Linked DNA regions of Schizosaccharomyces pombe. The gene in region 1 interacts genetically with each later gene. Each region holds a gene or a part of one and is shown on either strand. Other genes may lie near its edges. The genes, in order: cnp3 and cnp20.

What was found.
Region 2: mutations in cnp3 (region 1) and cnp20 are lethal when combined (synthetic lethality), as found in Schizosaccharomyces pombe (one study listed by BioGRID).

Annotation. Positions count from the first base shown.
Region 1 is NC_003423.3:4,123,241-4,135,057, forward strand, and holds cnp3 (centromere protein), read right to left. Parts: upstream 5,427-11,817; 5' UTR 5,329-5,426; coding exon 5,252-5,328; exon of another isoform or gene 5,172-5,251; coding exon 4,864-5,171; intron 4,757-4,863; coding exon 3,329-4,756; intron 3,249-3,328; coding exon 3,130-3,248; 3' UTR 3,078-3,129; downstream 1-3,077. Other genes in the region: rpl1901 (60S ribosomal protein L19), read right to left, coding at 1-480; F-box protein Pof12, read right to left, coding at 933-2,108, 2,195-2,341; mrpl44 (mitochondrial 54S ribosomal protein mL53), read left to right, coding at 2,643-2,832, 2,906-3,018; ARS-binding protein Abp2, read left to right, coding at 8,462-10,045; naa35 (NatC N-acetyltransferase complex subunit Mak10), read left to right, coding at 10,479-11,817.
Region 2 is NC_003423.3:270,736-281,747, reverse strand, and holds cnp20 (centromere receptor protein cnp20), read right to left. Parts: upstream 2,266-11,012; 5' UTR 2,085-2,265; coding exon 645-2,084; 3' UTR 501-644; downstream 1-500. Other genes in the region: csc3 (WD repeat-containing protein), read right to left, coding at 1-119; SPOM_SPBC800.12C (ubiquitin family protein), read left to right, coding at 2,990-3,097, 3,155-3,218, 3,260-3,501; SPOM_SPBC800.11 (inosine-uridine-preferring nucleoside hydrolase), read right to left, coding at 4,672-5,841; ede1 (EPS15 repeat-containing family actin cortical patch component protein), read left to right, coding at 7,411-10,761.

The DNA.
Region 1 (11,817 bases):
ATCTTGTTGCTCTTGGATCAACTTAGTACGGTTGGCCTCAGCCTTGGCACGTTGAATATGCTCAATTAAAGCACGCTTGTGTTTAAAGGTGTTACCCTTAGCTTCCAAATAAAGAGTGTGATAAAGATGCTTATCAATCTTGCCAGACTCACGATACTTGCGAAGAAGACGACGCAAAACACGTTGACGGCGCATCCAAACAACAGCAGAGGGCATACGAGCTTCGGCAGTACCCTTACGCTTACCGTAACCGGTGTGACGACCAAGACGCTTGGCGGCATGGGTCTTACGAATGCGGAAGCGAGAATGCATCAAGTTAGGCTTGCGAATAACCAAACCGTCCTTAATCAACTTACGGACGTTTTGACGGCTGTTGGCATTGCTGATTTCGCTGATTTCATTAGGATCCATCCAAACTTTGCGTTTGCCGCATTTAAGGACGGATGCAGCAAGTCGCTTCTGCGTTCTAAGATTGGCCATTTTTCTTGCTGTTTTTGGTGGACGGACAATCTTTCTTAAACAGGCGTGGTCAATTCTTTTGTTTTTGGGGCAGTCACGTTTAGGGTAGGGTTGGGTGATAATTCAGTACTCTGCTATGAGGAACAATGACAACGAATAAAGAATAAAAAAAGTATTTAGAAAATTTATTAACATTACCAAATGCTTTGACTGAAGTAAATATGATTATTAAAATTATCCCTTACATTCGTTGAATCAGTTACCGAATATGCACATTGTGTTTCATTATTTTAGAGGATGCAAACTGAAAGGTATAGCAGATACTCGTAATACAGTATATTGAGGCTCATTAACCTTGAAAAGGCACTTAATAATCCAATCTAAGTAATAATAATAATATAAATAAAATTATAAAACTATGGTTAAACTCATCATTTAGAATTCAATCATGTACGATAAAGTGAAACCTTTCTCTAAATATTAAAGAGAAACTTTAATATTCTGCCGTCGGAAAGGGTTATCAAAATAGTATCTTCATACAGTCCTATATCTTGAACCTTACATTCTTTTTCGTAATCAGATACGGGCTTATTGTGGATGTTTGTGCAAGTTAGCATTAGCGGAGATACGATTGATTGATAATTTGTATCATGAAGATCCCAAACACAAATATCGGCACAGTTTTTGGATACAGAAACAATTCTTCCACAAGAAAATAGTTTAGATATCTGAACACCACAAACGTGTCCTAAGAGACGACCTAAAAATTTTATCCGTAATTCGTTGTTAGTTGAATAAAGCCTCTGCAAAATTAAAGAATTGTCCGGATGAGATGTCAAAATATAGGACCCATACATAAAAATAGCAGAAGCAGGTTGCTGAGAGTACTCAATGTCTTTGTTGTCATGCAATGCAAGCCTACTACTTTTGACGCAATATTCGTTGAAAACAAATTCTTGCAAACTAACGGTCCATCCACCAGATAGAACATAATCATTAAAAACTACATGAACAACTTCATATCCTTCTTTTGATTGCTGAAAGTGAATAGCAACCTGTTTTTCAATACTTGAAACATGATATTTACCAAGTACTTTCAATTTGGTTCCAGCTTGATGAGAATGCTGAAGTATATATAAATTGTTGTCGTTTGTCAATCCACAAATGTAATTTTTATGCGATGATAATGCCACAAATTTGGTAGAGAATGTTGCAAGGTTTTCAATATTTCCGAAACCTGTCTCATGCACCGTTACATGTAGCAGGTTACCATCCTTTAAACCAATATAAAGGCTGGCGTTATCCAGACACATTACAGCCGGACCAGATTTGACAGTTTCATCTCTAAAAGAAGAAATAGCCTGGCATTTCAAACTGTTACCAACTGAGCTCCATTTTGATATTTGAACGTCATTACAAAAATAAATATTATTTTGGTGTGTAAGCGTTAGCCCCAAACGATCTTCTCCAACGCTTTTTTCAGAATTAAGCAATTGAGGGAGCATAGACTCTACTTTTTTACAACGTCCGTCCTTCCAGTTAGATTGCCTTCGAAACAATCCTTTCCAATTCCTTCGTTTTTTTTCAATGCGACCATGTCGTCGTAAATGCTTAGTCCCAAATTCTGAGAGATATAAATTATGCCATACCTGTATGAAGGTCGTTAGTACATGGAAATCAGTCTCTCAAAACATGAAAATTCGACTATATCACTAAAAAGTCAAGAAGAACATACCGATGAACGGCGCACAATTGAATTCCAACTACGAGATACACGTTCTAAAGCAGCTAAGTCATGTGCAGACAAATCATTAAGAACGTGAAGGAGGGTTTCATGGCTGAAAATCGACGCAGGGTTTTTAGCCTTCACATCGGTAGTCATGTTGGATAAAATCAAAATTGCAATTGTTCATGAAAAAATATTTCACAAGCGGAAACCGAGGTTCTATATAAAATTGGAATGACAAATTGTATTATAGAGACATACTAGTTTCGTTTGTATCTCCAAGTTGACTTAGTTGTTGTAGGAAGTGAGACTATCAGGGTAACGGTCACCTAGCTTACCAAATGTCATTTCGTTTACAAAACTTACCACCATTTAATGTATTTAAAATATCTACACATAAAGATCTCTTTTAATTACATTCCTTGACGACTTTACTCTCCAGTTAAAATTTTTAATCATGATATTTGGGTACATTAATAAATTGTCAATTTTGAATGTGAACCCGTTTTCCAAAGCTAGTCAATCTGCGAAACTTTTGCTAGCAGTTGCCAGTAAAGAAACCAGCAACTCTCTTTATGGACTTAATCTCATTACCAGTCTTGCATCAAAGGATACCAATTCAAAACCATCTGTTGAAGTTGTATACAGTAAGGCTTTTAAGTAGCTAGATGGTTTAACTGCGACCGTTAGATTTGACTTTTGCTAATAATTATTATTTAGAGGATGGAAAAAAGTTGACTGTTGATCCGACAAAAATGAATATTGGTAGGCTAACTGAATTAATTGACGATTACAGTAAAACGCTTAAATTTAAGGAAATGATGCAAAAATAAGTTTAGAAAAAATGACTTTATTAATATGATTAAATTGATAACAGATAATTAAATTACATAACGACTAAATGACTTTTGTACATCGAAATCCATAACACACTATTAGTATTGTCATCGTTCGTTTGGAAAATCCCCTATTCCCCTTCTTTTATTTTCCAAGGTGTCGGTCGCATGGGTATAATAAAGTCGAACAGCTTCTTTGCCGATATTTTTTATGCTGTAATAATTCCCTAAAGCAATGTTAGTCAAAACACATTCTCGGTGTATAATTCCTGTTTGAATTTTTAGAAATGTGTATATTTAAACTTACCCCTTGGAACAATAAATACTCCATCTTTTTTCATTCGAAAAGTGGTTGCATTTACTGTGACCTCGATCTTTCCCTGTAGTATACAAAAAGACATTATGTTGTGTTTCGAAGGCTTCACTGGTTTTTCTGCTCCTGCTGGCATTTCAACGACGCCAGCAGCAAAAGATGGCTCCTCCTTGAACAAGCTGGCAAATTTTAGTTGTTGATTAGAGATTTGCTGGAGATTTACAGAAGGCAATGAATAGCCGACTACTCGTTCTTCAGAGGCTTTTGGGTTTTGTTCATTCCAAGATAGAACTTCACAGTTTATTTCGTCTTTGTAAAAAGCATCATATTCTTCAACATCATTCGATTTTGCTTCCAAGTTACTTTTTATTTCAACTCCTGAGCGCTTTGCATGCCTTTTCTTGCGACCTTGACGAATTGAAGGTGATGGATCGTCAACTCGGATTATCTGCTTTACTTCCGGTAGTGCTGGAATTCGATTTTCATCTCTATGTAATTCATATACAACACGCTCATTCTTCCAAAATGCTAGTGGTGCTATTCGTGTACGTTTCGACCTTCGGACACCAACTAGTGTATCTTCACGTTCGACCTGTTTAATTTCCTGTAAATTATTTCGAGCAATTGTTTTAATAAATTCTCCAGAAGCTGAATCTGATTGTGAATTCAATGAGTCATCCTTCTCGTTGGACATCTTCTTCGCGTTTCTAATTGCAGGTTTCTTTGCGCCTTTAACTTGTGTAGCCTCACTAGTTTGAACAGAATTGCCGATTTCTAATTTGTTCTTACGAGGTCGACCACGTTTTCTCTTGACTACTGGATTTGACTCCCCTTCTTTAACAGAATTTATGCTTGATTCTTGTAAAGGTTTATTAGGTGTTCTTTTCTTATTCTTTTGAGAATTGTTTGCTAGGCTTCGATTAAGCATAGAAAGCGGGACATCGATAGAAAGTTCGGAATCTTCATCTCTAGAATTTGGTTTGTTGCCCTGGGATATTGTTTTCTTTTCCTCTTTTTGCTTATTCTGTTTAGAAGGCTTAATCGTCTGTTCTGACTTATTATTTTGAACATAACTTCTACGGGGTTTTGAAATGGTTTGTATATAAAGATTATCGCGACCACCACTATCCTTGATACTAGTAAAATTCGCTACATTTTTTTGTAAAGCAGTAATATTTTCATCGGGGAATGCAGGCGATTCTTGAACGTTATCATCCTTGGGCGTAGAGGATGGTATTTTGGAAGGAAGTTCGGTACTTCTTCGAGGTTCGAATTTTTTTCTATCTGGAGATGCTTTTATCCTAGAAAAATCGACAATTCGATTTGCTTTTCTTGGCTGAATTGATAATTTGTTGCCATCGACTTTCGTCTTATCAGCGGTTCCTTCATCTTCCGCTTGAAAAGCTGAGTGATCTATAGGTACTGTATGTATAATTAGTAATTTTATCAATGAAATGAAACGGAAAGTAACAGTAGAGTATTTGAGGAGTTGTAAAATAAAAATCTGTGATGCGTAGATAGAACCTTACCAATTAAAGGACCAGACGAACCACGGCTAGCCCGAAGAGCTCTCGAATTCATCAACAATGGTGAAGAAGGAATATCCGGGTTTTTATCACTAGAGTCAGAAGATGAGGCATGAGAAGCTTCATCAGAAGCAGCATTGACTGCCATTGGAGACGTAGGTTGAAGTCTTGTTACTGGCGGCATATCCTGCTCAATGTCTCCATTATCTTCGTCCAAATGGATGGAACCGTCGGAAAGAAAATAAGCATCCATATCCTCGAATCCATCATCGCCTTTTTTAACGTCTCTGGGAACTGTGAATCCTGTTTTTCTAGATAAAAATATTTTTTAGTAAATTTATTAAAAAAAGAATAATTATTACGATATATGGAACCCAATTCGCGAACGTACCTGCCTACGACACCAATTTCAAAAAACTGATTCTCTCGTTGTCTTGCCGGAATAGCAGACGTTTCATTCATCGTCATTATTCTATTAAATAAACATTAAGTAAAAATATAGCCTAAATAGCCAAACAAAACAATATATGGGGACGTAAGTGTTGTCTTTCTTGTTTACGTGTAGTACAGGATGTACATTATGTGTCATGGAATAAGCCTATCAATCAGACCCATGCGAAAAGGCAAGGTGTATTCATTTTTGCTTCCAGTATAACTAACCAATACATATAAACTTAATTGCCTAAGCGCTTTTCTGTTTTTCTGAATGCATTTTATAGTTATATAATGTTAGGCAAACAAATACGAAATTGCGTTGGAAATGAAACTTACTAGTGCTGACAGCGTAGATTACGGTAAACAGAAACAAACATGCCTCCTTAGAATGAAGGTCAGAAAGGGAATTCCAGAGAAGAAATGAACCCTACCTAGAAGCATATTAAGTAGCCGCTACCAAGGGATGAACCCAAATAGTGGAAAAGACGGATTGAGCAATTGACATTCAAAAAAACGGCCTACCGCAATAACAATTTAAGAGATTAAAAATAGATTTATCATTTTTTATAATTTTTTTATTTTTGGGATTTCTTCTGGCTTGGCCATCCAATTGATGATTGTTTATTAACTTACGATTATATTAGTGCTAAACCACCATTATTTATTACAGTCGGTGTTATTAAGCGTATTGCTGACGAGATTTTTTTTCTTGTATGAATCCAAATTTGCGATGCTACGCCTTGACTGTTTTCTTTTTTTCACCATAGTATGTGAAAATTTTCTGATGCCGAAATCTCAGCAATGGTGAAATTTTGCCAAAAAAGGGGTCAATTGATCTTGAATAGGGCTGAAAAAAAAATTCAAAAGTAAATAAAATTAAATATATTTATTTACAAAAAGTTAAGTCGGTTTGGTTTTTCGCTTCTCTTTTTACAAAATTTTTTATTATTTTATTATTTATTTATTAATTTTATATCTAGCAGATCAATATTTAGCAAGCCACCCCGTACAATAATTAAAATAGCTCTTTTCATGACATAGTAAGAAGACTAAAGTGCGAAACATGTTCAATTAACGCCAAGAAAATGCTTCCGTTTACGCCTCCTTCAACCATACCCGAATTTTTTACTCAAAATTTATGTACGTACTTTTGGCTGTATTACAAGAATCCATAGCTAACCTCTGTAAAAGGATATCACCTTATACACAAAGGCTAGGTTATCCTGCTACCACTATAAAGAAAATGAAAGTTCCCATAATGAAGTCTGTATTTTGAATGTATATTGTCACTTTATTTCGCCTACAACCTTCACGCGAACTCAGCAAAAAAGGGAAAACCCTATTTTACAGCGGCTTCAAATCAGGTCCTTATTAGTGCGACCAATTGGCCTTTCTTCCTTAAAATGGCGATTGCCGTTTAAGGAATATCACTAGAAGCCGTTAGCAGCTATTATTTAAATTGGTAGTTTCAACAAGTAAATCGAAGAAGGCATATCTCTTTATACTTTGAGTGGCAACTCAAGAAATTGTTAAAATTAGCTGTTAAAAATTTGCCATAAATATAGAGAGTGAATGTCGTTTTGTTTACTAACAGTAGTACTCATGTACTCTAATCTAAATAGCTGTTTATTTCCAAAAAAAATAGTTTTATAGCTTATTATTCGTAATAATTAGTATTCAACCTTAGATTTGTAATATGCGCTCCGTTGCAAATGCAAAAAGATACTATTAGAGAAGAGCCGATTTTTTAAATTCTCGATGCCGCTGGATCATTTCCACTGTCTGTCTCATTATTTATTCTGTTTTTTTATATGATTCGATTTTATTTGTCTTTTTCATTTATAGCATTGGTCGATTGAAATCAAAATTTGCATTTTTTGTATTCCATTCGGGTTGCCGCCAATGTGTGCCCCTAGTGTGTGCCCCTAGTGTGTCAGGTAAATAACAGCAGTCGAGACAGCGCAATAACCATTGCTTTACAGAAATGAGTAGTAAATCTGTAATAATCTTTGAACTCTTGATTGAAACATTTTTAATTTATTGCCTCTATTTTTTAATGCAATCCCGTTCCATCTTTCCTCTAGCAATTTCTCGATCTATCCAAAAGATATAGGGAGATTGAAGGTGTCCTAATGTGCGATTACGTATCCCTCATCGGTAAACGGCGCACGACTCCGTTTACCGACAGTCGTTAAGTACCTTGATTCAGCGAGTGCTACGGTAACAACGGGTTAAAGGTATCATCTTGTTATCTGAGTCGGATGGCCCAAGGTATCACAATATATGAAGGAAAAAGAGTACTTTATTCGCGTTTCCCATTTTCTACTCTATCTTCCATTCCAATATATAAATTGGACTTTTGCTCGTGTGCAAGTTTTTCGCGCTTTTTATTTATCGTTTGTAAATTAGATTTAAGAGGTTTCGCCTCTTTGGAAATATCTTTCTTTGCCATCCTTCTTTTGAAAAATCGCGAAATTGTATGACCGTGCAATTTTCTTTTTCTCGAAAAGCTAAACGCCAAGGTAATAGGTTTTCGTGAGAGAAACTCTTCCAATTCTTAATTTCAATTGTGAATACAACCGATTGTTGGAGGGTTTACAATTTTTTCCGAAAATTTCTCGACACCCTTGCTATACGTGCCATATAGCTTAGGGACACCATTCTTATTTTCTTTCTTAAAGAAGAAAAACTTCTGTAATACCTTCCGCATCCTTTTTTCATCATAGGAGGGGATCAATTGTTTTCATAATCTGTGCATCTTTTCGTATAGTGTAGACGAGCTACTTCATGTCAATACTTCTCTAATTTCTAGAGAAGAAACAAACAAAATTTAACATCTGTACTTATATTTTCTTTTTTTTGGTTACATTCATTCTCTTATTTCGTTTTTTTTGCTTTATTTACCTCCATTCCCTTTTTTTAGTGTACGGAAAAAAAAACATCGGTTCATTTACAGATTGGAGTTTAATTTATAGACAGCAACTCCTTCCTGTTCCAAGAACTGATACATTCTATTAAAATCCCTGGATCTTTTCTGATATTTATATACTGTTAATCTCTTTATTCGACATTGCTTGTGTCTTTCTGTCGTGTTTACTTAATAATCCAACGTTTATCTATCTGTCTTTTTACATTTTTTATTGTTTTTTAAAGCAATTAATCAAGGATGAACTTTTATTCCTTGTTGCCATCTAGACATGATGTTAGCGCGGATAATATTACTGAAAAGTTCTGCCAATTCTGTCTTTGCTGCAATCCCTGGTATGCAGGTGCTGACACGAGGCAATTAGCAAATGCATTCAATATGATTCCTAAATCAGAGGGTCAAAAATTTGAGATTTGGGTCTTATTTCTCCTTGTCCGGCAATACCACCAAAAAATAATTAACTCTTGGTCCAAGCTGGTGGGTTTTCTTGGTGTGGAACGAAAAGATGAACAATCTACTCAAAAAATACAACAGTATGTTGTTCGTTTAAAACGGTGGATGAGTCAAACACATGTTGATGCTTTTTTCGATTATCTCCTGAATAAACCAAATCCTTATTATCTCGAAATTCCTGAAACCCAACCTCAAGTTCGATGCAATGTAAATGTAACTGATGATTTGGTTATTAAATCTTTACGTGCAGGCTTAATGTCTCATCCAGATGTTAACTCTTCCTCCATCTCCACAATGCGCACGTCAACCTCCCCTTCTAACTGGATTCATTCAGCTAGTGCTAGTTTAGACGACAACACTCACAATCTTGGTAGCTTTGTCACAAACCCTCATGCAGATTCCCAAGAATGCCCTACCCCTCAATCCCTTTTAATGAGAGCGTCCCATCACATGTCTGAACGAGGTTCTCAACAAGCACATCAGACAACTCCTCAAAACCATTCTCTCCCACATCCTCCAAATATGTTTGAACCACCTGACGAAGACCATCAGTTACCTTCCGCAGCCAACAATTCACATAACCATGATCACGCTTTTCAAACTGCTGAAGCAGTTGGCGTTGCTGATTCCATTGATCCTGACTGGCATCAATGGCCTGATGATTTACGAGACGTTTCTTCACCCAAAGAAAGTGACGGGTTGAATGATTCTTGGTCTCGACAAACCAATCAAGTAGAAACGGAAAATGTTGAAAATGAAGCAGGAGTCCCTCGTAAACGCGGGCGTCCGCCAGGAGCTCGTAACAAAATTAAACGGCTGAGATCTGAACCATCTGTGTCATTAACGCTAAGTATCTCTTGGTATGAAAGATTTGAAAAGTTGATGCATGCTCAAAATACAATGCTTCGCTCTGCATTTTCACATGTTGCTCGTCTGCCCATGGAAACGGTTTCTCAACTTTTATCACACTATACTGAAACGATATCCCAATATCTTCCTCCCTCCGAAACTTCGCCGATCCCCAAAACTCCCAATTTTAAGTTCATCTCAAGTACTCTTTTAGCCCTGGTCTCTTCTCATTCCGAAATCCTTGAAGCCAGTACCGATCGCTTAATTTGGACCGTTCATCAAGGACCATTAACAGCTACTATATGTCATGCATTCAATTTGGAAAAAGCGCCGAGTATGCACTCATTAGCAGAAGCTCAGATGATTCCCGATGTCCCTATATCTCATTCAAATTCAATGGAGCCTTTAGACACTGTTTCCTCATTAAAATTAGAAATTGCCAAACTGAATGCGGCCCTAAAAGAAAAAAATTTAGAACTCGAAAATTTAAAGAGAAAGATTATGAATGCAGTGTTTGACTGAAATCACGATTCTTCCATGCATGTATCTATTTATGCAGTACACTTTGCGACTGCACGTTCCACGAACTGGTGCAATTTCAAAGTTACAAAATTCTCATGTTCAAAAAAGCATAATTGTTTAAAGTATTTATTTTGTTTTCCTTCTCTTTATTTTATAAAAAGTTTTTAGATATTCTACTGCTAGGTGAGATGGGTTACCATCGAGATAGTTTTTTACCTTTGCAGATACAAGTAAAATAATTTCAAATTGGATTTATCATTGTTTTTATTATTATTGAAAAAATTACCATCTTATTTACTCTCGAAAATGTTATTGAACAAGCATTTTTATGCGTGGAATTTTTGTTGTGACTTACAGAGTAACACTTTTCATTAACCCATAAACTAGACGTTCAATAGAAAATTGGTCAATATAGGGGTGTTTTGTCGATTTTATGTCTGTTAAAGAGTCCCTATCATTGCTTAATTCTATGCAAGGAAATGTGAAGATTGGAAATGTGGAACCGGCCAAAGGGAACGAAGGTTATGTTGATAACGCTGGATATGTCGACTGTACAAAGTCTTACTTTGAAGCCACGAAATCTCTGAAAGAGGAACAGCTAGTATGTGATCCAAAATTTACATTATTGGATTCAATCAGTGCCTTTGAAATTATGGAACCGAAAATGGATAGTGGGATTGATTATCAGCCACTTCGTGTAGATTTTTCACGTGATCTCTCTTACTTGGAAATATTAGCGTTAATGGATTTAATTGTCTCTGCGGAAAAAGAGTGGCATTATGGATCCCCCTTATCAGAGAGCTTACTCTGTAGTGCCCATGTGTTCTCCATTTGCAAGTCGCCTATTTCACAAGTGGGTGACAGTGGCTTCTCCAGTGGTAGCGGAAGGAATACAACTGACATCGTTCTTTTCCCTTTTGTTTTGGCTGTTATTAAATGTTGCGATATTGTTCATCGAGAATTTCTGATGGGAAATTTATATGACGAGGAAGACATTAGTTCGTTTTCATATCACATGTCCTTTCTTCAAAATTACCCCATAGAAAAACTCAATTATCTTTTGCAATCTAGCATCGAATATTTGGCTTCCGAGGTTATAAAATTTTCTGCCGAGTTACGACAAATTATCGAGGGAATTCTCAATAGAATACAACTTCGAATTGGTATTTTACGAGTGTATGAAAGGAGTGATATTAAGACCACCATCGATGCTCTCCATCTGATCAAAAATTTGGTACCCGAGATTCAGAACACGGTTTCGGTAGTTGATTCATCTATCAAGGAGAGCATATTAAAGCAATATTGGGATTTTCGCGTCCAAGCCCAATTAGTTGCTACAGCTCCTGTGAGGAATATTCCTCCTACTGGCATTGAGCATTCTTATCAACGAATTTTGTATTTTGCTGATGATATGCTTTTGATTTTGAATAGCCACACTCTCGCTTCTTCCTTGGCAGTATATCAGTTTTGTTTAGATTTTACGAGATTGAATCGTACTCCAGAGCCTTACGTCCGTTCCTCCCTTCAAGCACTTATCACTGCTAACAATGCAGTTAATCTAAGGGATCAACCTACTTCGTATATGTTAGAATGTATTCGTGAGTTTTCTGGGCTTCCTTCAAATTTTTATAATCCTAACACCCGTACAGTAATCGAAAAAAACTCTATCTCATCAGCCTATGGTCCGCTAGTTGAGTCTTTGATTGCTCATTCAACTAATATCATGGTTGACCTTGTCCGAATTTGTTCCCACAATCCCTGTCGGTTCCGCC
Region 2 (11,012 bases), 3.8 Mb from region 1:
CTTTCATTCTTGAAAGCCTCGTACTGTAAATATTGAATTACACCTTGCAATGTGTACAAATTGGGCTCTTTGTCGGCACGTTTTTCATCTTGCCGTTTTAATGATAGGTTGGATTTCATAAATGCTTTATTTCGACAAAATCCCGGGTATATAAAAACCTTTAGGACACTCGTGAATGAAAGTCGTTGATGGCTTATGAGAGATTCAACATAACACACCTGAGAGTAATTAGCACTACTACGGATGTTCCCTGCAAACTCATCTTTCAAATACTAAAAAAAATTATAAAAATAAATGTTTCTTGCAGTTAGCAGATAATGAAATTTATTTACTTGATCATGTAATTTTAACTAATGGACGAAAATAAATGTTGGCTAAATTACAAATAATCAAAAGCTGTTAAACAAACTTGTAAGTGTATCGAATCAAGCGTTCTTGCATAGGTTGCAAATTTTGAAAATAATTCTATTTCCTAAGAAAACAAATTTTCTAGACGTGCCTTACAATTAATTAATAATATAAAAATAGCAATAAATATAAATAATCATTAAATTAACTATTAATAAAAAATCTTAACATCCAAAGAGGTAAAACGATGAAAAAAATTCTAATATACAGGGATGAATGTAAAGGAGAAGTACGCATTAGGTTCTCTTAATTGCCGGAGGTGCAATTTCACGCGATAAATATTGCTGCATTAGAGAGGATAGGGATTTTTTCTCACTTATTTTCCTTTGTCTTTTCATAAGTAAAACCACGTCCTGCGTGTCAATTGTTTTCCGATGAGCATGGTCTGCAAAAGCCGAAAGGTCATTCGCGATCTGTTTGAAAAAGAGTTCAGAAGCTGTAGTTAGTTCTTCAATCACTGATCCAGCAATTTTTTTCTGTGAATAGGAATTAGCCAACTTCCTAATATTTGTTTCCGGTAGCACAAGTGTTGAAGATTTGGAATATCTTCTTTTAGGTTTTTTAAACGGAGAATCTTTTAGTTTATTTAGAATTTCCCCATTATCTTCATCATTGGGTATTTCTAAAGCAGAATCAGCATCCATTGGTGCGTCTACTACTGGGGAATTGACAGCTTCGTTGGCATTTTCAAGCAAGTTATCATCTAGTAAGGGTTCAAAATTTGAGATTTCTTCCATCAATTCTCTTTCATTGTATGCTTTTTCACCAAATTCCTGAATTGGATCGGCTGGGAAAGTATTTTCGCGCCTTAAAATCTCAAGGCTGGCGCGTTTAGAAGGTAACTCAGATAATCGAGAAGAGAGAGATGATTGACGGGATCTGGAAGCTCTTGAAGAGTAAGATGGTTCATCTTCTAAAATGTCCGGGCCTAAATTAAAAATGGGACTTTGATATTGGTTCAGGGTCGCAACATGGCGTTGGAGAGGTGTACCGTCATCCATGTCATCTGTTTCATAATCACTTAAAGGAATGCGAAAAATAGGAACTTCGTCATTTTTTAAATCTATGAGTCGATTACTAGAAGCGGTACTTAACGCGCTTTCTTGAACTTGGTCAATATTATTTTCTAATCGTTTTTCTGAGATTAGAGAATCACGAATATTACTGACACGCCTTCCATCTGGTGTAAAAAAGTCGCTAAGGCGCTGTGGAGCACGCCTTGGAGCTTCGATGGATTGTATCGTCAGATTTGCATCGCTAGTGTCGGTACCTGGAGATTGGGAATTCCTTTGTTTAGCATCATTTTTTAAAGTCCGACGCTTATTCGAAGACAATCTTGGTGTCTTTTGAGACTTTTGACTATTAGTTTGTGGAGTATGTCGTCGCTCGGAGGATTCTGATTCAGCTGGTGATGGTACTGGATTTTTTGCCAGCGCACGACTGAGCATTCTGAGAATGTCTCTAGGAGTTGTTGCGGAAAACACATTGCTCCTTCTCCTTGCTAGACTATTCCTGCGTGCAAGAGCTCTCCGTTTATGAGGAGTAACAGTCCGTTGAGCAGAACGTGGAGTATACCTGCTTCTAGAGGGGGTAAAATGCCGTCGCTGAGAAAGTGTACCAACTAAATGTTGAAAGGAAGAGCTCTTGAGTGGCGTCTCATAATTGTGAGAAGCCATTGTAAGCGTGATTGATTAGAAATGTAGGTTGAGTGAATATATGTATACCATGCTACCTATACAGCGATTTGGAGTTTTTGATAAATATTAAGGAGAAATAAACAATAATAATCAATCCTTTTAAAAAACAAATGATTCGAACAAGACGATTTCAGGGCTGATTAAAGATTATGGCTCTAGTAAGGTTGGTTATATCATCTTTCTAATTAGTATACAACTACTTCACACTTTACTTGCTTAAGTTCTAATCTGTCTGTCTTTATATACGCATCTTTTCTAAAACTGCTCCATAGCAATCTTATCTAAAAACATGAAGGAATACAACCTCTTTTAAAAAATCGAAGTAAAACGCAAAGATACTTTATGTGCCTATGAAATAAGATGAAAGCATGAAATGAACAATTAAACTATTTAGCTTTATTGTTTGCTATAATGATAAGCAAAACATTTAGGGAAACAATATTTAAAAACTACTAAACTCTTAACTTTCAGAAACTTGTATGGATAGTATTTGCAACAGCAACTTTATTAACAATGCAAAGATTTCTTATGACTTTAATAATTTATTTAACAGTAAATTTTTAAAATCATAATTATTATTCTTTTTGACAATTCTGAGTAAACTACGTTCGCGAGGTTGTAAAGCTTAAGGCATGAAATAGACGAAGTTATAGAATACTTTATGTTGAACTTGAGCGCTATTACATCAAGGATTTGGACTCTTAAATTTGTCGGTTAGCAGCATTGTAACATAATTATCAAAAACTGAACGTCAGATTTGATGTGTTGTTTGTCAAAGTTGGAACTAATGGCATTTTGTATGATATTTGTTTCGAGATTTTCTCTTTAGTGGTTTTAGGACACTTGATAATTAGCTTGAGTAAACTTGACATTCCACCATCACCATGAGCGAGGTACAAATTGTTAAATCGTTTCTAGAAGAGCTTTCAAAGACCCCTAGGAATCACCCTGATAGTATTCCAATTGAAAAAATAGATGAAACTGCTATTTCGGTGCGTAATAATGATTCTTGTTTCACAAATATGCTATTGAAACTAATAGTTTTATAGATCACTATTCCTGCTCCACTGGTCGAGTTTCAAGGAAATTTAGCTTTGTTCGAGGAAAAGAAAGGTAAATTCTGCTTAAATAACTACTTTTAACTAAAAATCTAGTTCATGTTGTTGCGAAAACTGTCCGACCTCCCATTCAACAAGCATCTACTGAAATAAATGTACAGTCTACAATTTTGGAGCTTAAAGAAGTTTTAGCATCTCAGTTATCTACGCAACCTTCCTCTATCCGTTTGATGTACAAAGGCAAACCTCTTGTCAACTCCAGACTTCTAGATGACTATGTGGATGCCGACAGTGTCTCTGAAGTTAATCTTCAAATGTTTCTAATGAATATTTCTTAAATGACTTGTTTCATGTTGGTATTTACCTATATTAGTTTTTCTCCTATTTTTTGATTAGGAAAGTATTCGACGTCAGACACTTATAAAAAATGAAGTGTGTCATTACATACTTATTATGAAAGTTATAGTTATAACTATTACAGCTTTTCTTTGTGTAATTCGCTCTATACTTTCTCAGTTTTGCATATCTGGGATTTTTATGTTTCCCTTTTTATGCAAGACGCCGGCAAGTAAAATCTAATTTAAAACAAAAATCGAAAGAGCATAGTCAGTAAATAATGTAACAGACATTTTTTTTTTCTTGAATTCCGTACTATAGAAAAGTCAAATTGTATTTATTTATTGTTAACATTTTTCTTTAAAATTCGTATTTAAGCGCCCGTATTTCTTTCATAATTGCGCCCTATACCTCATAAAAAAAGCATAATAATTATAATTTTAAGCTAAATTTATTTCCTTCAACATGTTATATAGAATTGTATATTGATTTTGTCAATGGTTGAAAATTATCCCAAAAGTACAATGTTAAAAGTTTAGCTATTATTTTTTTTGGGATGTAGACTGCATTCATATGTAAAATTTAGCCTTAAAAGTTGAGGGGGTCGTATTTTTGTTTTTTTAAAAAAGGTGACTGATCATGTCCATTTCTCTTTTTTTATGACTTTAATCACCAAAAAAAATAAAAAATAAAAAAATGAATATCAAAAGTTTATACTGGCAAGCATAACTTTTTTTAGAACGATTAGTCGCTCAATAATTTGAGGCATTTGAAAATTAGCCCGTCCTTTTCAAAGGATTTATTCTCTTCATTTTATATTTCTAATTGGATTCTACTTTTCGAGAGCGGATAAAACCATTCATATGTAATGAATGAACAAGGATCTACGTTTGTAAAATAATAGTTTGCATTATTAAACTATTTAATTTTTAATAAATCTTATTAAATATCGATGTACGAACATTCATCTATTAAATGACAGAATACGTAAACTAGTATTTTGGTTTCACGCTAAAATGAATTATCGAAATTCTTTTGTGTATTGTTCAATTTAAAAAATATACCAATTACAAACGAGCGATTATCGGTCTGAGGTTTAAAGGAATAAATATAAATAGATATAACCTCTGGTATTTAACCACGATCTTTCATTATTAATTGATAATTAAAGTTTAATAGAAGCCCGTGGTGTTTGTTGTATTTGTTGTGTTGCTGATGGTGATATTGGAAGGAGTTATTATTGTTCCATTCATACAATAAGATGAATATTCAGCTGTCAAAGAATCATAAATCTTTTGATAAAACATTGCAACGTTAATTCCAGTTATCATGCTAGCTTTTGCTGTGCGAACACCCTTTTTGGGTACCAAATCGGCTGGCACCATTCGTAAGCTGCCATAAAATGGACTATCATAAGCAGTATCTACTGAAACATAAGCATCGTAAGAGCTGTTTACGATTTCCGGCCATGCAGCAATTGCAGAAGCAACTTCATCCCAGAAAGGAAATGATCCACTAGGCAATGTTCCATTGCCCACAAATTGCTTTGCATAACTTAGACCAGAATCGCTTTCAATATTTGCCATTCCACCTGCGCGCGCAATGATACCATTGTAGAGGCTTTGCGATGGGTACACTTGACTGGTAATGTTTCCGGCTATAATAAGCTCTGGCCAATCTGCGGTGATGGCAGTTTGAGCAGCTTCAGGTTCCATGAATAAATTAAAGTCACTATACATATCATTCAAAAAGTCACCCCCAGTAACTTGTGCGATTTGACTATCAACATAGCCGCCCATGATAACCAAAGACTTGGTGTTTTTAGCCAAATCAGGCCAAATTGAAAGAGCAATTGCCAAGTTGGTCATCGGCCCTGCCGCTACAATGGTAATCTCATTGGGGTTCGCTTTAACCATGTCGATAATGAATTGAGCTGCCGAGATTTGAGTATTGTATATATAAGATTCATTGTTTGTATTTGCAGTTTCATATTCAGGCTGCCAATATCCTTGCCAAACGTAACTACCGTACAGCTCCTGCCAAATTTGAAAAGTATTATTAGTGCGCAACAATGGCTGGGCAGCACCTGCGAAAGATGGTATGCAATATGTCAAATTACCAGTAGACAAAACATCCGAAGCCAAAAAAAGACTATCATCCAAGGTGTAATCTCCGTAAATTGCTGTTACACCAAGGATTTGTTGTTTCGCTTGTAAAGCAAATAAAACTTGTAAATCCGTCAGCCCATCATTGTCGATTATGACCTTTGAAGCAGCACTAGCGGCATAAGCACAAATGATACTTCCAAGAAGACCAATTGCTCCAAGTTTGGCAAAGTGCATGTTTTATTATTCCTTCCTAGGTTCTATTAAATTGACCAGCCTCCTAAGTCATATATAGTAACCATGATCTACACATTATCTGTAAAGACAGATATTTCCAACCGATAAACAAGCACATGTCAGATATACAAATTGGGTATAAATAGATAACCCAAAATCATCGTGTGAAAATGAACATCCGAAAGCTCGGATGTTAAGCCGTCTTTTATCGGCTACTTAAATTTAGTGTCTAGAAGCAAATGATCCCATTCATCCCGTTCTTTTGTGGTAATAGCATTGTCTAAAGGAGGATAAAAAAATTTGGTGTATGATTTTTGGTGTTGAGTAAAATCCTTCAATTCAACGATCTACTTTGAAAGCTAACAAATGTTTTAATCAACTGATCTATAATACCAGACTATGTTTAATCGAAAATGAGACAATCGGTTTTAACACGGTCTAGCACTAAGCAGCCGTCGACCAGGTAAAAATATCGAAGAAGAGGACAGATACTAGTTTTTTAAGTGATTTGACTTGTTTTACTACAGTGATGTAAATGTCTTTACTGGACTAAAAGCAATCTCTCAGAAGAATTAAGATACATCAAGAGAAAGCGTAATAATTGATTTTTGAACTTTCTAATCCGTGAGCTACTGTTCATAACTGGCAAACAAAAAAAGACTCTAAAGAAAGGCAATTGACATTAATCTATTGTAATTGACGTTGGCAGTGTGTATCTTAATTGCTCCGTGAATGCTGCTGATGTTTATTTAATTTACCAATAATGATTCGTTTTCTTTTGTAGATCAAATCATCCATTAAGAAGCAAACAAAGACAAGCTAAAGGGAATTTTGGATGTAATTGAAAGGTCAGTATGTCATGATGGCTTGTCAGAGATTGCAGTACAATTACTTTTTTACAATAAATGTAGAGGTGATGAACTCGGTAATTGGAAAGGTTCAATCTTAAGACGAAGCAATACACTATAGAGCGAATAAAAGAAACGAAAATTGATAATACCGAATAAGTTCTAAAAAAGTTGAGCTTTATTTACACTTCAACTTGACTATGCAACCAGGTGTTGTTTTGTCATACGCATCATTCTGTTGTGAAAATCAAAACATAAAAACAGTAAATTATTTCAAAAGGAACAGACATTTCAGATATCGTTTATGTACGACCTACTTACACGAAACTAGTTCAAAAAAATTGTCGGAAATGAATAGATCAATTAACGCAATGCCGTTAACCATCGTTATATAAAGCTAATGCGATATTGCAAATCATTATGAGCATATTTAAACGCTCTGTTTTCCACGCAAAAGCGTTTAGTGATAGAGTATCATATAGCTAACTACCTTAATTACTACTCCTGCTTAAGGTAGCAGGGTCGATTGCTTTATCTCGGTTACCTTGGATGCTCTCATATAATCGCAGCCTCTCAATTACACCTGATTCAAACAAGTGTGTCTTTTTTGACATTTTGATCGTATTGTAAATCGAATTCTCTTTTTTGGAGGTGATTTCTGAGTTTGCTCAACAAGTGATTTAGTATACTTGAACCACAACGTAAATTGAGCATAGTAGAGATGTCTTTGAATTTGTCTGCGGAAGAGCAAACCGCTTTTGACCAACTGTTTAAAATTGCAGATAAACAAGACATTGGCGTTATCACCGGAGAAGAAGCTGTACCGTTTTTGGAAAAATCGGGCTTAGCTCCTCAAGTCCTTGGTCAAATTTGGCAAATCGCAGATGCTGAGAATCGAGGATTTCTTACATTTTCTGGCTTTGTAATTGCCATGAGGTTGGTGGCTCTCGCACAAGAAAAGCTACCTTTTGATTACAAAAAATCGGGGAAAATTCCATATTTTGCCGATATCCATATCTCTGGCGTTGATTCTTCAAAGTTTGTTCAGCTGAATCGACCAAATAACGTTTCTTCTGGTGATGGATCTGATGGTTCTTTCTTACCTCCTATTTCTTCAGATGAAATGACACGGTATCAACAAATGTTTACTACAGTCTGCCCAACTGACGGTCTGATGGATGGTGACAGAGCTAGCTCAATCTTTGGTCGTGCACCTCTTAGTACTGAAATTCTTGCGCGAGTCTGGAATTTAGTTGATACTCATAAACGCGGGGCTCTGGATATTCGCGAGTTTAATACCGGTATGCATATAATCAACCTTTTATTAAACGGTTCCTTAAAGTCTCCTCCTGTTTCTATTTCACCATCATTTATCGCTTCCGCAGCTTCAACCTCATCAGTTTCTGCACCCTCTCAGTATCCCGGCCTCAGCCGAAGTCCACCTGTGCAAGCTCCAAACATCCCTGTTTCAGATCCATGGGCCATTCCATCTCAAGACTTGACTAGCTTCTGTCAGTTGTTTTCCAACGTTGATAAAGCGCACAAAGGATACGTTTCTGGTAGCGAGGCATATTCGTTTTTCCTTGCTTCTAAACTTCCTGAAGATGTCTTAGCACAAATTTGGGACCTTAGTGACACTAATAGTAACGGTAAATTAAACATTGGTGAGTTTTGTATATCTCTTTATTTAATTAAGCTCAAATTATCCGGAAAAGAGCTACCCAAAGTGCTCCCTTCTTCTATGCTCTCTTCGGTTGCTCCATTAATGCAAAAGAGCAAAAGCGTGCCAACTTCTATCCCTTCCGTTGTTCCTGCTAATATTTCGTCTCCTAATCCCAACCCTACGTTGGCTCCTAATCCTACGGGCCCATCCCGAGTAACTTCAGGAACTGAGGATTTACTAAGCTTGGATGCTACTCCTTTCTCTCCTACCCTTGCTCCTCAACATACATCTTCGAATGCTACAAAGCATTCAGCCCCCCCAGTAACTAAAAGTGCACCGTTCCCTGTTGTTTCACCTCTCCAACTTAACCATACTCCAGGGTTTCCCACTTCTCCAGCTGCTAAACCTAATTCCCCTACATCAACATTCTTTCCTCAATCCAGTTTTGGGCAGACGATTGCCAAAAACACCATGGACAAACCTTCAGCAGTTCGAACTTCTGTTCCCTCACAACTTGCTGCCCCTATTCCTCAGGTTGCGTCTGCCGAACAACTAAAATTAGCTGCAGAGGTACCCAAGTTAGAATCGCAATTATCCCAAGTAAAGAAATCTAATGATGATTTACAAAAGTCATCTCGCGATGTTGCCGCAAACTTAAGCGATGTCAAAGCCAAGGTCAGTGAAATACGAAAGGCCTATGATGAGGAACTAGCAAAAGCCAAGCAGATCAGTTTGGACATTGAAACTAATAAAGCTCAAACTGAGCAAGTTAATCGGGAGTACTCAATTTTGGAAGCCACGCTTAATGCATTGCAAAAACAGAATAAACAAAAGGGTGAAGTTTTAGAGCAAGTCGTTGCAGAATCTGAAGCGGCCAAGAATATGGTAGAGTCATCTAATGCTTCAATTCAACAACTTAAGTCCGAGGTTGCTGATAAAGAGCAGACGCTCGCCCAGTTGCATTTACAATTGGATGAAATGACTCAACGTCTGGTTAGTTTGGACGAAGAGAGTAAGGCTGTTTCGCAAAGAAAACTTGACCTAGAGTACAAAATTAATAACTCTAAAACGCAACTAGCTACCGCAACCGAAGAATATCACGAACACTCTAAACAATTGGAAGCTGAAAAGCAAGAACTCAGCAAATTAGAAGATGGATTGAAATCCGTTAACCTGACTGAAGAAGCTCCGAAACCCGAAGTGGATTCGACACCTCGTTTCCCATCTTTTACCAGCAATGGAATTACCACTGATAAGCCAACCCTTCCTGATACTACTTCCTCGGTGCCCACTCAACATAATTCTTTTGATGCAATGCATAATACTCTCCGTTCTCCATCCCTGAACTCTAATAATTCATCAGCACATGCTTCCACTGTTTCCCGAAATCCATTCCATAACTTGAAAATCTCAGGAGCTAGTTCACCGGTTTCAAATTTCTGGGAAAGTGAATTTGCTTCGGCTGTGTTTCCTAGAAGCATTTCAAAGACTACATCTCTTAGCGTTAATAACTCAAGTGTTAATCCTAGCTTGGACTCTGAACCTGTGCAGTTGTCAAATATGGAGGAGCCACAACATCAGGATAGCAGTGTTGTGGATGTATCAACCTCTGCTTCACAACGTGGATCCCCGGTATTATCTGACTTGTCAAAGTTAACAGGATCTGCCAGAAACACAGCTGAGCCAGTCGAGAATACAAGTGCGGAACCTATTGAAAACACTAGTGCACCTACACCATTTGAAATTGCTAATAAACAACAAGCCACTGAACCTATTAGTGCACCGTTTGCTACTGAAACAATTAGTACACCTGCTCCTGTGAAACCTCCTGTTCCTCCTTCTCGACGCGATAGGTCTGCGCAAGATGGAGTTGTACAACAAGCGACACCTCATATTCAAGATGAGTTTCCACCAATTCAGTTTAATGAGATTGATGATGATGAAAGTTCTAGTGATGAGGAGCCCCCAATGTCTAATCTTTCTCCTCAAATTTCAATTGGATCAGTCACGAATTACACCTCTGCAGTTACGGAGCTTCCTGATCCTAATCATCAATTAGAAATGTCTACGACTACTCATGTACAGCATCCTAATTCGGAGACTATACCCTCAAGTACTGAGAATCAGTACTTTGATACTACATCAGGTGCTTTTGAAGCAAATAGTAATACTGAGGTTACTGTCAATTCTAACGAAGTTAGTCAACCCTTTGATTTTGATACAGCGAACGAATCGGATAACGACGACGACGAGTTACCGGTACAACAAGTTGTCTCAGGATCTCTGGCTAATGATGCTTTTAACGTCGATGATGAATTTGATAATCAATTCGCAAATCTTCAAGCAGCCGAAATAAAGGATGATGACAATAGCTCTACTGATGAAGAAGAACATGCTGGGCATCATTAAGTAGCCGATAAAGCTTAACACTCGTTTTTCTTAATCCTTTTATTGCTGAGATCATTTTGGTATTTTTCCACATGAAGGTGTCAGTTGTGATTTGACTTGACAAATTTTATAAAAAAGTGTTAACGTATAATGGTTGGAAATCAAGTTTAACTGGTTTAATCTATGTAGGACAATTGAACGATATCTGTTAAGGGCTACAGAGATGAGAAACATACCTATCGTTTAAGAGATAGGGTATAGAAAAAAATTCG